3 linked regions of the Rhinolophus ferrumequinum genome follow. The main gene of each other region encodes a partner of the protein of the gene in region 3 in a complex. Links are inferred from orthologs where the notes say so. Each region holds a gene or a part of one and is shown on either strand. Other genes may lie near its edges.

Region 1 (3,736 bases), on a different chromosome or scaffold from region 3:
CCCGGTCTAAGGCCTCCGGGGATTACGCCAGGTTCCGGGAAAGCAGCTGCACTGCCACAGCTCTGAGAAGTGGGCCACCGGAGGAGCCGCGCAGGCGAGACGGGTGAAACCTCAAGAAACTCAAATGAGTCCGTGCGCATCCAGTTCTACTCTACATCTCGCTCTATGAGGAGAGGACCCGGGTGTGTCCGGTCTCAGCCCTTCACCTTGACTCTCCAGTGGCTTGAGCCAACTCTGGAGCCTGGAGAGTTCCTCCCTGCCTCAACGAAGCGACAGGACGCGGGAGGGGACTTGAGGCTGCTGGTTTGGGGATAGATGGTGGGCTCTGGAGCAGAAGCTGAACCCAGGTGAGGGGAAGCGCTGGAGGTGACCCTCATTACCATACAGCTGATGCTCCCCTCCTCTCCTACCTCGGGGACCAGCCCTCTTTCCCCATCTCCGCGACCACGCGTCTGGGGGCTGGCACGCGCGGAGCGCTGGCGGGGTGCAGAAGGGACCAGGCACGCGCTGGACACGCCCCCTGCAACGAGGGAGGGAGACACCCACCAGGTGGAGGGAGGGAGCCCCTCAGTCTTAGACGCTTGGCCCCTCTCCTTGCCCCCAGTGGCTACAGAGAGATTAATGCGTCCGCTGGCTTCCCTGCGGCGCCGGAGACGCGTGGTGGGTGGGCGTTCACAGGTTGAGGGCCGACCAGGCTAGGGTTCGCGAAGCTCTGTGAGGAAGATTCCGAGTCCTTTGGCGCTGGTTTCGCTTTCCGGACATAAGTTCTTTTTACCTGTTCGAGGGCTGCAGGTAACAAGCGCTGGCTGCGGACGCACCGCCCACGGGGACTCCCCAGTGTCTCCACCCCCACGACCATCCCGGAACCACTCGTTCACCTCCCGCCCCATCCCCCCCGCCCCGCCCCTCCTATTCTCCTGCTGCCCTGGTCTCCGCGCGAAACCCCACGATTGCGGAGAACTGGTCATCTCGGCACGCGCAGAGCTGGGGGACCCAGGGGCTGAAAGCAGCACTGAGGGGCGGGGACCTGTGCCTGACTGGTTGGCGGGGAGGGGGGGGTGGCGGGGGCGGAGGCCCCCTCCCGGCGACGCTAGGGCTGTAGCAGCTAGAGGCCGGGAGGGGAGGGGAGAGTGACCATGAGTCTGAGTGACAGGCAGCGAGGACAGGAGCCAATATATATAAGGAAGGCTCCCGAGCGCGCAGGTTTCAGTAGCGGCGCTGAGCGCAGGCTGGGAACACGAGGCCAAGAGCCGCAGCTCAAGCCGCCTCCAGTGCTCTGTACCCAGGCACTAGCCGGCTTACAGTCCCAGGAGTAGCCCGAGGACACGTCCTAAGCGCGGCCGCCGCCCAGCCGCCCTCACCTGGATTACCTACCACGGCAATTTGAGTGGAGCTAGCGAGAAGGCGAGGCGGGAGGAAAGCCACGAGCGGCGCCTGGCTTTTCAGAGACTCCTCCGGCGGGTGGACACACGGCGAAGCGGCGTCCCGAACTGAGCCAGCTTCAGGGCGGGCCGGTGGAGAGAGCGACGCTCCAGGGAATGGCAGCCGCGTCCCGTAGCGCCTCTGTTTGGGCGCTACTGTTGCTGGTGGCACTTTGGCAGCAGGTAATGTCCCGCGCCCCCTCCGCCCCTCCCGCCGCTCTCTGGGCCTGAACCCCGCGTTCGCCGAGCTGACGGCTCCCCTCCCTTCTTCCCTCGTCCCTGTGCAATAGCGCGCGGCGGGCTCCGGAGTCTTCCAGCTGCATCTGCAGGAGTTTGCCAACGAGCGCGGTGTACTGGCCAGCGGGCGGCCGTGCGAATCCGGCTGCCGGACCTTCTTCCGCGTCTGCCTTAAGCACTTCCAGGCGGTCGTCTCACCCGGGCCCTGCACCTTCGGCAGCGTCTCCACACCTGTGTTGGGCACCAACTCCTTCGCGGTCGGGGACGACAGTAGCGGCGGGGGACGCAACCCTCTCCAATTGCCTTTCAATTTCACCTGGCCGGTGAGCACAGCCTGGGCGCACTGGGAGGTCACGAAAGCCGAGAGAAGGCGGCTCCCTGGGACCAAAGCCTTCTCCCCAGACTTCCTCGCTCCAAAACAAAACAGCAAAACAAAACAAAACAAAAAAGGATCTCTTCCGATCCTTTCTTTCCGACTCTCTCATGAGAGGGACCTCATCCTCGGAAAGGCTCTCACCAGTCTCCCTCTTCCCAGTTCTACGCCCTTTCTTCTCCCAGCTCTTGGGATACTGTTTTCATCACCTACCACCCCGGCGCGTCCCCCACCTCCGAATGGCTCTCGCGTACATTCCCCCATCCCTCAACCCTCCTCCTACCCGGGGTTCTCCTCTCGCCTTCCCTGCTCGCGCGCGATGCTGCACGCAGACTCGTTGTGTTGACCCGGGCGCAGTAACTGTATCCTGCAATTAGATTAATTAAACAGGCTGCCGCAAGGCACCCCCACCTCCCCCCTGCTCATCTCTCTATCTCTGTCTTCCCCCGCCCCCTCCTTTCGCTTCCCAGGGTACCTTCTCACTCATCATCGAAGCTTGGCACGCGCCGGGAGACGACCTGCGGCCAGGTGAGTAGCTCTCTCCGCCGCCACAGGGGGGCGACACGGCTCAGCGCCGAAAGAGTTAACCCGTAATAAATAATAGGCGGGGGAAGTGCGGGGTGGGGGGTGGGGTGCAGGACGCTTAGTTGGGCCCGGAGCTGCGCCCCGCGCTGGACGCTCGGATTCCGCCCGCTGCCTGGACTCTGAGCACAATTGCGTTTCCTGCGGGTTATTTTTGGCGTGGGAACGCGGGGAGCACGGCGGTGAGAAAAGGCCGAAGCTGCCAGCGCCGCTGACGGGCCCCTTCCTGTATTTTACACCTTTCGCGAATTCCGCTCCTTTGGAAAGGGAATAATGGCTTTGGGATGTTGTTCTGACACAGAGGAAAAGGATATTTCAGCAGCACAACAATTCTCACTTTGAAAAGGAAAAAGAAAAGCATTACCCATCTCTGAGGGCAGAACCCCTGAATGGGCACCAGAGGACCCCTTGCTCCCGGGGTCTTCCCCAGCATAGAGAACTGTTCTTTTTTTCATTTTTTTATTCTGTGTTTTTGGTGTTGTTTTTTTTTTTTTTTCCATTTTGACCTCTTTTCCTCTTTCCCCTGCCTATCTGCCTCCAGAACTCTGGGATATCTTAACATCCTTCTATTGTCCCCCTTTTGAATGGTATCAGGCCATTTGCAGATGCACACACACAGGGTAGCTAAGCAATGGGACCCTTGGGTTCCTCTGGCCTGTGCTTGCTGGCAGGGGGTCATCTGAACAACTGGTTTGATCCATCAGTTGTTGGCACCCTCCGGGATTGGCTGCCTTTCCTTGACCTGGCCCTCTGCCCCTTCAGAGGCCATGCCACCGAACGCACTCATCAGCAAGATCACCATCCAGGGCTCCCTAGCTGTGGGCCAGAACTGGTTACTGGATGAGCAGACCGGCCCTCTCCCAACAAGACTGCGCTATTCTTACCGGGTCATCTGCAGTGACAACTACTATGGGGACAGCTGCTCACGCCTGTGCAAGAAGCGCAATGACCACTTCGGCCACTACGTGTGCCAGCCAGATGGCAGCCTGTCCTGCCTGCCCGGCTGGACTGGGGAGTACTGCGAACAGCGTAAGCAGCCAAACTCCCTCCTTCCGCCTGCCCTGGGATTGGTGGGGGTAATGGTGGTGGGCCCTGAGCAAAAGAAAAAAAAAAGTGGCAAAGG
Region 2 (3,736 bases), on a different chromosome or scaffold from region 3:
GCTCAGTGTTGGACCCTCCCTGCTCCCGCCCCCAGGCCTCAGCCCACTGATTTGTTACCTTAAGTCATGGCTAGTGTAGCCTGAGTAATCCGCAGCCCAAGTCCCTCTTGACTTCCCCCCCACTATTTGGTATCTAGAACGATACTTAGCCCTTGACAGACACTCAATCAGTGCTCCTCCTCCTCTTTCCGCCCAGCTCACTCCTGCTAGGTCTCATCAGCCTGTGTTCTGCAGCTACTACGTATATCCCGGGAGGGATGAGAAGGGGCAGAGCCACAGCCAGTACAACCAATGATACGTCCAAGCCCCAGGAAGAGAGGAGACAGGCTTTAATATAGGAGAAAGGAAGGTAGGAGTAGGCAAGAAAAATTCCCAGGAATAAAGAGCTTGTCGTTATTTTGCAATCTTCTGAAATGTGAGGAGGAATTTGCCTATGGGTCCCTTTAATTGACTTCTCTATAAGAACAGTACCAAGTAAGCCCAGGTATAATAAGGTCAGAAGATATATTTATGTCATAATTCTTACCTTGAGGGAAACATGCAGTCATTTTCTCGGTATAATCTGTTCTTAATGATCTGGTAGTGAGTTCCTAGCTTCCGTCTGACTACCTCCGCCATCATCTTCCTTGAGATACCTCCTCGGAAAGGAGTCAGATCCTCTTCTATGACCCTGGGGGAGAATGGATATCATCAAGGAAAGCAGGTCGAGAGAGTGGTACCATTCTACCTACTTCCTTTCTGTTGGTTTAGGTTTAGTATTAGAGAAGACAGGAAGTTGAGGGAAAGAATAGAGAGCATGAATGAGTACCCTTTCCGCCAGAAGCACCATGGGTAATCTAAAACATCATCAACAACAAAGCCACAAAAAGGAAAAAGCAAGTCAATTTCTCTTCTTCCTTCCTCTATCTGGATTGCTCCTCCCTTGCCTGATACATATTCCACCTTTCCTACTGATGCCAGTCACGGCAATCCCACTCACCTTTCCTTCACTGAATCCCACAGAAGGTATGATTTACGCTTTGCAGTCTGACACTGCCTGATTCCCTTGTTCTGGTCTGTCTGGCCCTCACCCACCCCATACTCTAGCAGCCTAACAGCAATAACCAAAAATGTATCCCTTTTAAAGTTCAGTACATAGCAAGTTTTCAATAAGTTTCATAAGCATCAGGTGAACTTTTTGAGGAGTCATGGAATAACATGATGAGGCGCTTAAAGGACCCTGATATTTAGCTGATGGGTAATCTGAGACCCAGGGAAGTTAAGTGGCTTGCCATGGGGATGATTAGTAGATGTGGGACTAGAACCTGATTATTGTTTTTTTTTTTTTTTTTTTTGATTATTGTTTTTGAAGTAATCTTTCTTCCATGCCCCACTCCAGTCCTGATTTGCATACTTTAAAAATAACCAACAGGAAAAGTATGATTAGATTCACTTAAAAATATGTTCATTCCTTCAACAGTATTTATTAGTACTTGCTGATAGCTAGCACCAGGGATACAACAGTGAATAAGACACAGACCTGGATCTCAAGAAGCTTTCAGGCTGGCGAGGAAAACAAACAAGTACATTTGCTAGTTCCCGCAGAGTTAGTGGTGGCGATGCGGGGAGACCACCTGTGCCTCTCCTACTCCAGGGCATTTTTATCCCCCAGAAATAGGAAATCCATTTCGAGAAACCTATCGGCTTTCAAAATATGCTTGGCTCTTTGACAACTGCAACCAAGGTCTCTTGGGGATCTTAGGGGACTTCATTGTGATGAGAACTAAATTCTCAAAGACAAATCAAAGAACTCACCCATAATAGCAGCTGCAGTTTTGACTTGAACATGGTTCATAATTCTCCAAAGACCTGTTAATTTGGTCAATAAATACTTTCCATTTTGAACCTTCAAAAAGTGAAGTAAATGAAGGTTAACAAAATACCCCTGAGCATTCTTATTTGCTAGAAGCAGGCAGGCAGAACCAACAGAAGGCCGAAAGATTTAGACACCCCCTTCCCATCCCACTGGTGGAAAAGAATGCCAGGAAGAATTCATTCTGTAACTCTCCAGCACTTATGTGAAGTCTGCTCCTCTACTTGGGCTGTCAAGAAACTGGAAATTTCTTAATGCCTGACACTTCCAAGGCTACGGATAAACTGGTGAATGGCATGGTTCTCTACCTTGTACTAATCAAATTGAGTCCAATAAACAGAATCAATTGAAAGTCACAGACATTCACCTTCCCTTCATCTCTTCCGACAATGGCCTAAGAACACACACATTCTCTCTCTCTCTCATGCAGGGCCACCACGAATTATCCCACAATGTGTCTTAGGGAGGTGCAGAGTTGCCAAGCGCGGGAGATGCCCGCTATGGGTGAGCTGAGGAATTCCCTCTCCTCCCCAGCATCACTCCGGATTCCGGAGGACAGGTTACTCTCCAGGGTCCTGGGCAGAAGCCGCAGCGCCAGACACCCAGACACTCACTCTCCGCTCCAAGGCGCCCCTCCCCCGTGCCCTCTGCCCAGCTCTGCGTTACAGCGGCCACAACATCAACCGGGTGCGGGTCGCCCGGGGGAGCGAGGGGGGCGGGAGCGCGCCTCTGGACGGAGCCCGAGACCCAGCGACAGGCTCGGCCCCGCCCACAGCCCACCTGACTCCTTCTGGCGGCCCGGCACTGGGGACAGGAGTAGCAACAGCAACCACAGCCCAAGCTGGGAGCGCGCCCACTGCTCCATGGCGGGCCGAGCCCCTGCGGAGTGCCCCACTGCAGCGCTGGCGGAAGCACCGCCCCGCACAAACATGGCCGTGGGAGCCGCACCACGTGGGCGGACGGCCGCCCACACAGAGATGGCGGGTGGCTGCTCCGCCTCCCGCGCCCCCAAGTCCCAACCTGTGGTGCAGTTTCCCTGGGAATGCTCGCCGGGAAGGAGGGCTTCCCATTCCGCCGTTGTTAAGGCGGTGTTCCGGGAGGGCGCGTTTGTTTAGAGCCAAGCTATTTGGTTAGCTATTGAAGGGGACCAGAAGTTTTGCCTTTTGAGAGATTTTTATTAAGCTGTTTATTAAGAAAAAAAGACTCGGAAAGAACCTTTGATTCGCCCCCTTGCTGCCTGAGAGATTCAGATGGAAAGGCCTACTCCAGGAAGGGGATTTTAGGATGTTTGCCTTAGCCTAATTTGAATCAAGTATGGTAAATAGGAGGGCATCAGGCAGGAGCCTGTTACCTAGCTAGATATGCGGCGGGTCCCATTGTTTCCGAATTGCCTAGCAAGAATTTGCAGGCCTTGTGTGTTCCCCTCTTCCTCAACTACCTGTAAATCGCCCGTTCTCACTTCTAAAATCAAAGACCCCACTCCCCTCTTTTTCTCCTTTGTCCAAATGTCCAACATATACCCAACGTTGTCTGCCTTTGGAATTTTCATGCTTGTGTAAATTAAAATTTGAAATTCCCCATTTGACTTTCTCCTGTTAATCTGTTAATTTAATTATTAGCCCAGCTAGAAGAACTTAGAAGGTGAGAGGAAAAGTAGTATTTTTTTAGACCCCACACTGTAGTGTACAGCACTGTTAGACCTCAAGGGCTTGCAAATAGCATAGCACAGGTCTCTTTGTAATAGGAATTTACAACAATTGGGGTGACTTAGACATGGAAAAATATCAGTGGACAACGTTCTACTGGACAATATAGATATATAGGTATGTATAATGATCATACAACTACAATCACCTATCCATTGAATAATATGTGCATAATGAC
Region 3 (3,736 bases):
GGTACGGGGATTCCCACTTAGCACCTCAAGAGCCCAAGGCGGCCCACAAAGGAGTGCTCGAACTTCCAGAGGCCAGACCAGCTCCACACGAAGCATAATTGCTGGTGATTAAGTAATTGCCTGACTTTGTCCAATAAAAGTAGCACGTGACAGCGCCCAGCCTCCTGGGCCATCTCCAAAGGACAATGGTCTAGTGTTCTGTCCCTGCTGGCCCCGCTGCAGAAGGCAGGGGCTCAGCTCCCGACAAAAGCAACAGGTCCCGCAGGGGCGCGTACTCACACACAGGCCTCGGTGCCGTTGGGGAACACTTCACACTTCCCGCCATTCAAGCAGGTCTCGCTGGGCTGGGAACACCGCAGGCCTGGGGAGGGGCAAGAAGAGAGGTCAGCCGCGGAGGCACCAGAGCCCTGGCCGAGGGCGAGGCCCACCCCCAGGGACATGGCCCTCCCCTCCCCTCGGAGGCTCTGTGAATAATGGGGTTTCTGGGGGCAAGGGCTCTCAGGAAGACCTTCCCTCAATGAACCCCAAGGGGCTTCAACATTCTACCCAGAGATCTGTAGTCAGAAATGGGGAAGAGGGGGAAGAACAGGTTGGCTGGGTGGCAGGTGCACAGGTCCCGCTCAAAGTGGGGAGTGATGGCCTGAAATGCTACCTGGACAGCAGTGGAGAAAACCTGAGATGGCCCTGGGCCCTCTCCCAAACATTGCACCCCCACCCCATCTTCTGGGGAGCCGAGCTGGGCTGGGGCCCCTATCCAGCCACCAGGATTGTCTTGCTGTTCAAACATGTTCTGCGAGGGGGCGGCGCTGGGGGGTGGCCCCACTCTGGCTCCCCATTCGTGGGAAAATGCGACAGCTGCAAGGCCAGCCGCCCCACCCGCCAACAAAGCGCCGGCCGGCCGAGGAATCAGAGCAGCCCATTGTGGTGCCAGGGCGGCCTCATGGGGCACAGGGACTGCACCCTGGGGACGTGGCCCCGCCTCCGCAGACACCCAATACCTGCTCCCTCGGGCATCTTCGGGGCTGGCCCCCCCATACACCAGGGAAGGAGGATGAAGATGCCCCATTAAGAAGGAATTTGACCCCATTCCCGAGCAGAGATCAATTAATCAAGCCCCCACCATCTTACCAGGACTGTGTAAATTAAGCCCCTCAAGGAGGCAGGGAGGGGGGCAAGACATGGAACTCTATCTTCTGGAAGTGGGGAGCTAATTCTCCCCTCCAACTTCTGGAGGAATTGAATTAATCACCACTAGATTCCTCGGAGACCCCCTCCACGTGAAAAGAGGACTAAGAGCCCCCTCCCCACGTCCCACTCTTCATCCGGCAAGATTTCCAAACTTGAACTCCGCGAAGGGAAAGTCCCAACAGTCGCAGCTGAGTCTTCTGCGCTCCCGCCACCCCCCAAATTGTGAGCCTGGACAGGGGACAGCCCACCGGTGTGGGGAGGAGACATGGCGGGCGGGACGCCCAGGAGCCCGGGACCCTTGGATCCTGGGTCTGCGCCCCTTACCCCGGCCCTGCCCGAACTCTCCAGCGGGGTAGGTAGGCCGGGCCCGCCTCGCGCCCCGCTGCCCACCACGCCCCGCTGCCGGCGGGGCCGCGCCGCTCCGGGAAGGCGAACGCGGCGCCCCGGACCCCACACTCCGCGCCCCAACATCCGCCCCTGGCGTGGGCCAGAAATGAAGAAAAAAGATAAATAGCCCCCAAAGCAACAGGAAACCAAAACCAATTCGATTCAAATCGAAAAGTAGTAGGCAGTTCGCCTGCCCCGGCGGCGAGCCCCACGCACAGCTAATGAAGGGCGAGCCCCGGGCTGGGCCTCCGGGGGTGCTCAGCGTCCCACGCCGGCTTCAAACCCCGCTCCAGGAGCGGGCGGCACGAGCTCACCCCGATTGGGTGGACGGTGCGGGAGAGGGTCAGTCCTCCCCCAGCCCTGGACTCCGGTTGTTCCCCTCCCGACCCACCCCGCCCCGGGACGCCCGGTCCCCCTCCCTCCCCACCCTGGCCGCCCGCTCCCAGCCCCTCCGGGCGCGCGAGTAGCGCGCTGCCAAAGTTTCCGAAGGGCGCGGAAAGTTGCGGACTCGCAGTGGGCGGGCGCCTACCTCGTGCGCCGAGCGCGGGCAGCAGCGCCAGGCAGAGCAGGGGCGCCAGGAGAGGCGGCATGCCTGCCCGCCGGCTGCCCGCTGCGCCCGGTGGCGGCCTCCTGCGCCGGGCCGGCGGGGCTCACACAAACCCGCGCGCGCCGGGAAATCCCACGAGCGGCAGCCCGCTACTGTCCTCTCCTTCCTGGATGGCGGGCGGCGCTGTACTCTTTTGGCCACTCGGCCCGGCTCCACGCCCCGGCTCGCACCTGGGCTGAGCAGCGCCCGCACCCCGCGCCCCTGCGCTCCCTCCCGTGGCCGAGGCACTAGTGAGGCGCAGGGCGGCCTACGCTCCGCCCCCACTCCCCGGCCCCGCCTCTGGCCCCGCCCCCGCCGATCCCTCCGCACCCCTCGCCCCCTCACTGGCCGCGCCCCTCCGCGCGCCCCCACCAGCCCTGTGCTTCCTCAAGCTGGGGCGCGCGTCCGGAGTCCGGGTCCTCCAGAGTTGGGGCCTACGGCGGTGCGGGGGTTCGGGGGCCGACTCTAGGGACTACTTCTCGTTCGAAAGTTTTTAGAGGCTAAAAGTTTGGTCAGAGACTGCGGAAGGATCTACCTCTGGCTGCCGCCGGCTCGGCGACAATTGGAAAGTATTTGCATCTCAATAGCAGAGGCGAGGGCAGGGTGGGGAAAAGGGAGCCTCCGAGCGGCAGGTCCCTGCGGGGAGCTGAGAGCCAGGGGGTGGGGAGGAGCTGCCGAAGTCCAGTCGGGAAGACCCCAGGCTCGGGACGGCACCCTGGCAGAAGTCGGTGGGTGGGCCCCTAATCCAGGGGCTCCACCCCCAGAAGCCCCTTTGGTCGCAGGTTTAATCCCCCCGGAGACCGTAGCCAGACACCCCTGGCTTTAAACTGCCGGGTCACTTGACCCAGAGGGATGGTGACACCACGGCCGCAGCCTCTGAAAAGGGGGCTCTCAGAGCCCCAGGGGAACAGCCTGGGGCCAACGCCTGGCCCGATGGATTGCACACCCGCTCCCCCAGGAGGAACCCGCCTCGGGACGCTCCTTGGTCACTGTCCTGCCCCTTCTCCTGGAGCCTCCCACCTAAAGTGCCCCGCAAAGCTTGGGTCATGCAGATCCGCAGCTAGCGCCGGCAACCCTGGCCCTTCCCACGTGCGCCTTCCGGATGATTTATTTCTCCCCCCATGATGCCAGATTTGGGCATCCTGTGCCAAGGCGGACTAAGCTCTGGGCATCCAAAATGCCTGCCATAGTCCTAGGAAACCAGAGTTCATGGCCTCCCACTGGGGACAGACAGCCTACCCACCCTAACACGGGGTGGTGAATGCGGTGGCAGGAGGCTGGAGGCGCATCCACCCAGCCCGTAATTCCTGGCTTAGGTGGATGCCAGAGGGGAGCCTGAAATGTGGAGAGGCACCTTGCCTGGGAAAGGGCACTGGGGCAAGAGAACCCACAGGACTGCACAAAACCTGGAGACTGGCAGAGAAGCAGCTCTTGCCAGAAAGGTGGGCAGAGCTGGGAGGCTGTAGTGGCAGATTGCACCCCTGACCCCAGCCCGGCCTTCTTGGCACACTTGTTTCAGGGCACTGGTAGTATCTGGGGTGGTGTTGTGAGTAGACCCCTGGCAGCCACGCCCCT

What was found. The genes of interacting proteins can lie anywhere in the genome.
Region 1: the proteins of NOTCH1 (region 3) and DLL4 are in contact, whole or in part, in a crystal structure (PDB 4XLW), measured with the Rattus norvegicus proteins. The link is inferred for Rhinolophus ferrumequinum from reciprocal best matches to the Homo sapiens genes NOTCH1 and DLL4. Residues at the interface, in NP_001099191.1 of Rattus norvegicus: Glu415, Leu418, Ala420, Asn421, Pro422, Glu424, His425, Phe436, Pro447, Arg448, Glu450, Ile451, Asp452, Leu468, Asp469, Gln470, Ile471, Ile477; in XP_006234827.1 of Rattus norvegicus: His65, Thr76, Phe77, Asn109, Phe110, Thr111, Pro113, Tyr180, Ser186, Arg187, Leu188, Lys190, Arg192, His195, Phe196, Tyr199, Lys216, Tyr217, Asp219.
Region 2: the proteins of NOTCH1 (region 3) and POGLUT1 are in contact, whole or in part, in a crystal structure (PDB 5UB5), measured with the Homo sapiens proteins. The link is inferred for Rhinolophus ferrumequinum from reciprocal best matches to the Homo sapiens genes NOTCH1 and POGLUT1. Residues at the interface, in NP_060087.3 of Homo sapiens: Asn454, Glu455, Cys456, Val457, Asn459, Pro460, Cys461, Gln462, Asn463, Asp464, Ala465, Cys467, Gly472, Glu473, Phe474, Val485, His486; in NP_689518.1 of Homo sapiens: Met103, Phe104, Pro105, Ser106, Arg107, Asp133, Gly170, Pro171, Ala172, Val173, Trp174, Pro178, Thr179, Gly180, Thr214, Asn239, Gln240, Ala241, Val274.

What each region holds. Positions count from the first base shown.
Region 1 is NC_046289.1:64,237,099-64,240,834, reverse strand, and holds the start of DLL4 (delta-like protein 4), read left to right. Parts: upstream 1-1,090; 5' UTR 1,091-1,538; coding exon 1,539-1,604; intron 1,605-1,711; coding exon 1,712-1,981; intron 1,982-2,501; coding exon 2,502-2,559; intron 2,560-3,375; coding exon 3,376-3,642; intron 3,643-3,736. UniProt on the Homo sapiens protein: Involved in the Notch signaling pathway as Notch ligand. Activates NOTCH1 and NOTCH4. Involved in angiogenesis; negatively regulates endothelial cell proliferation and migration and angiogenic sprouting. Essential for retinal progenitor proliferation.
Region 2 is NC_046285.1:45,191,479-45,195,214, reverse strand, and holds the start of POGLUT1 (protein O-glucosyltransferase 1), read right to left. Parts: upstream 2,787-3,736; 5' UTR 2,784-2,786; coding exon 2,633-2,783; intron 1,886-2,632; coding exon 1,795-1,885; intron 671-1,794; coding exon 527-670; intron 1-526. UniProt on the Homo sapiens protein: Dual specificity glycosyltransferase that catalyzes the transfer of glucose and xylose from UDP-glucose and UDP-xylose, respectively, to a serine residue found in the consensus sequence of C-X-S-X-P-C.
Region 3 is NC_046295.1:82,309,599-82,313,334, reverse strand, and holds the start of NOTCH1 (neurogenic locus notch homolog protein 1), read right to left. Parts: upstream 2,395-3,736; 5' UTR 2,166-2,394; coding exon 2,105-2,165; intron 362-2,104; coding exon 280-361; intron 1-279. UniProt on the Homo sapiens protein: Functions as a receptor for membrane-bound ligands Jagged-1 (JAG1), Jagged-2 (JAG2) and Delta-1 (DLL1) to regulate cell-fate determination.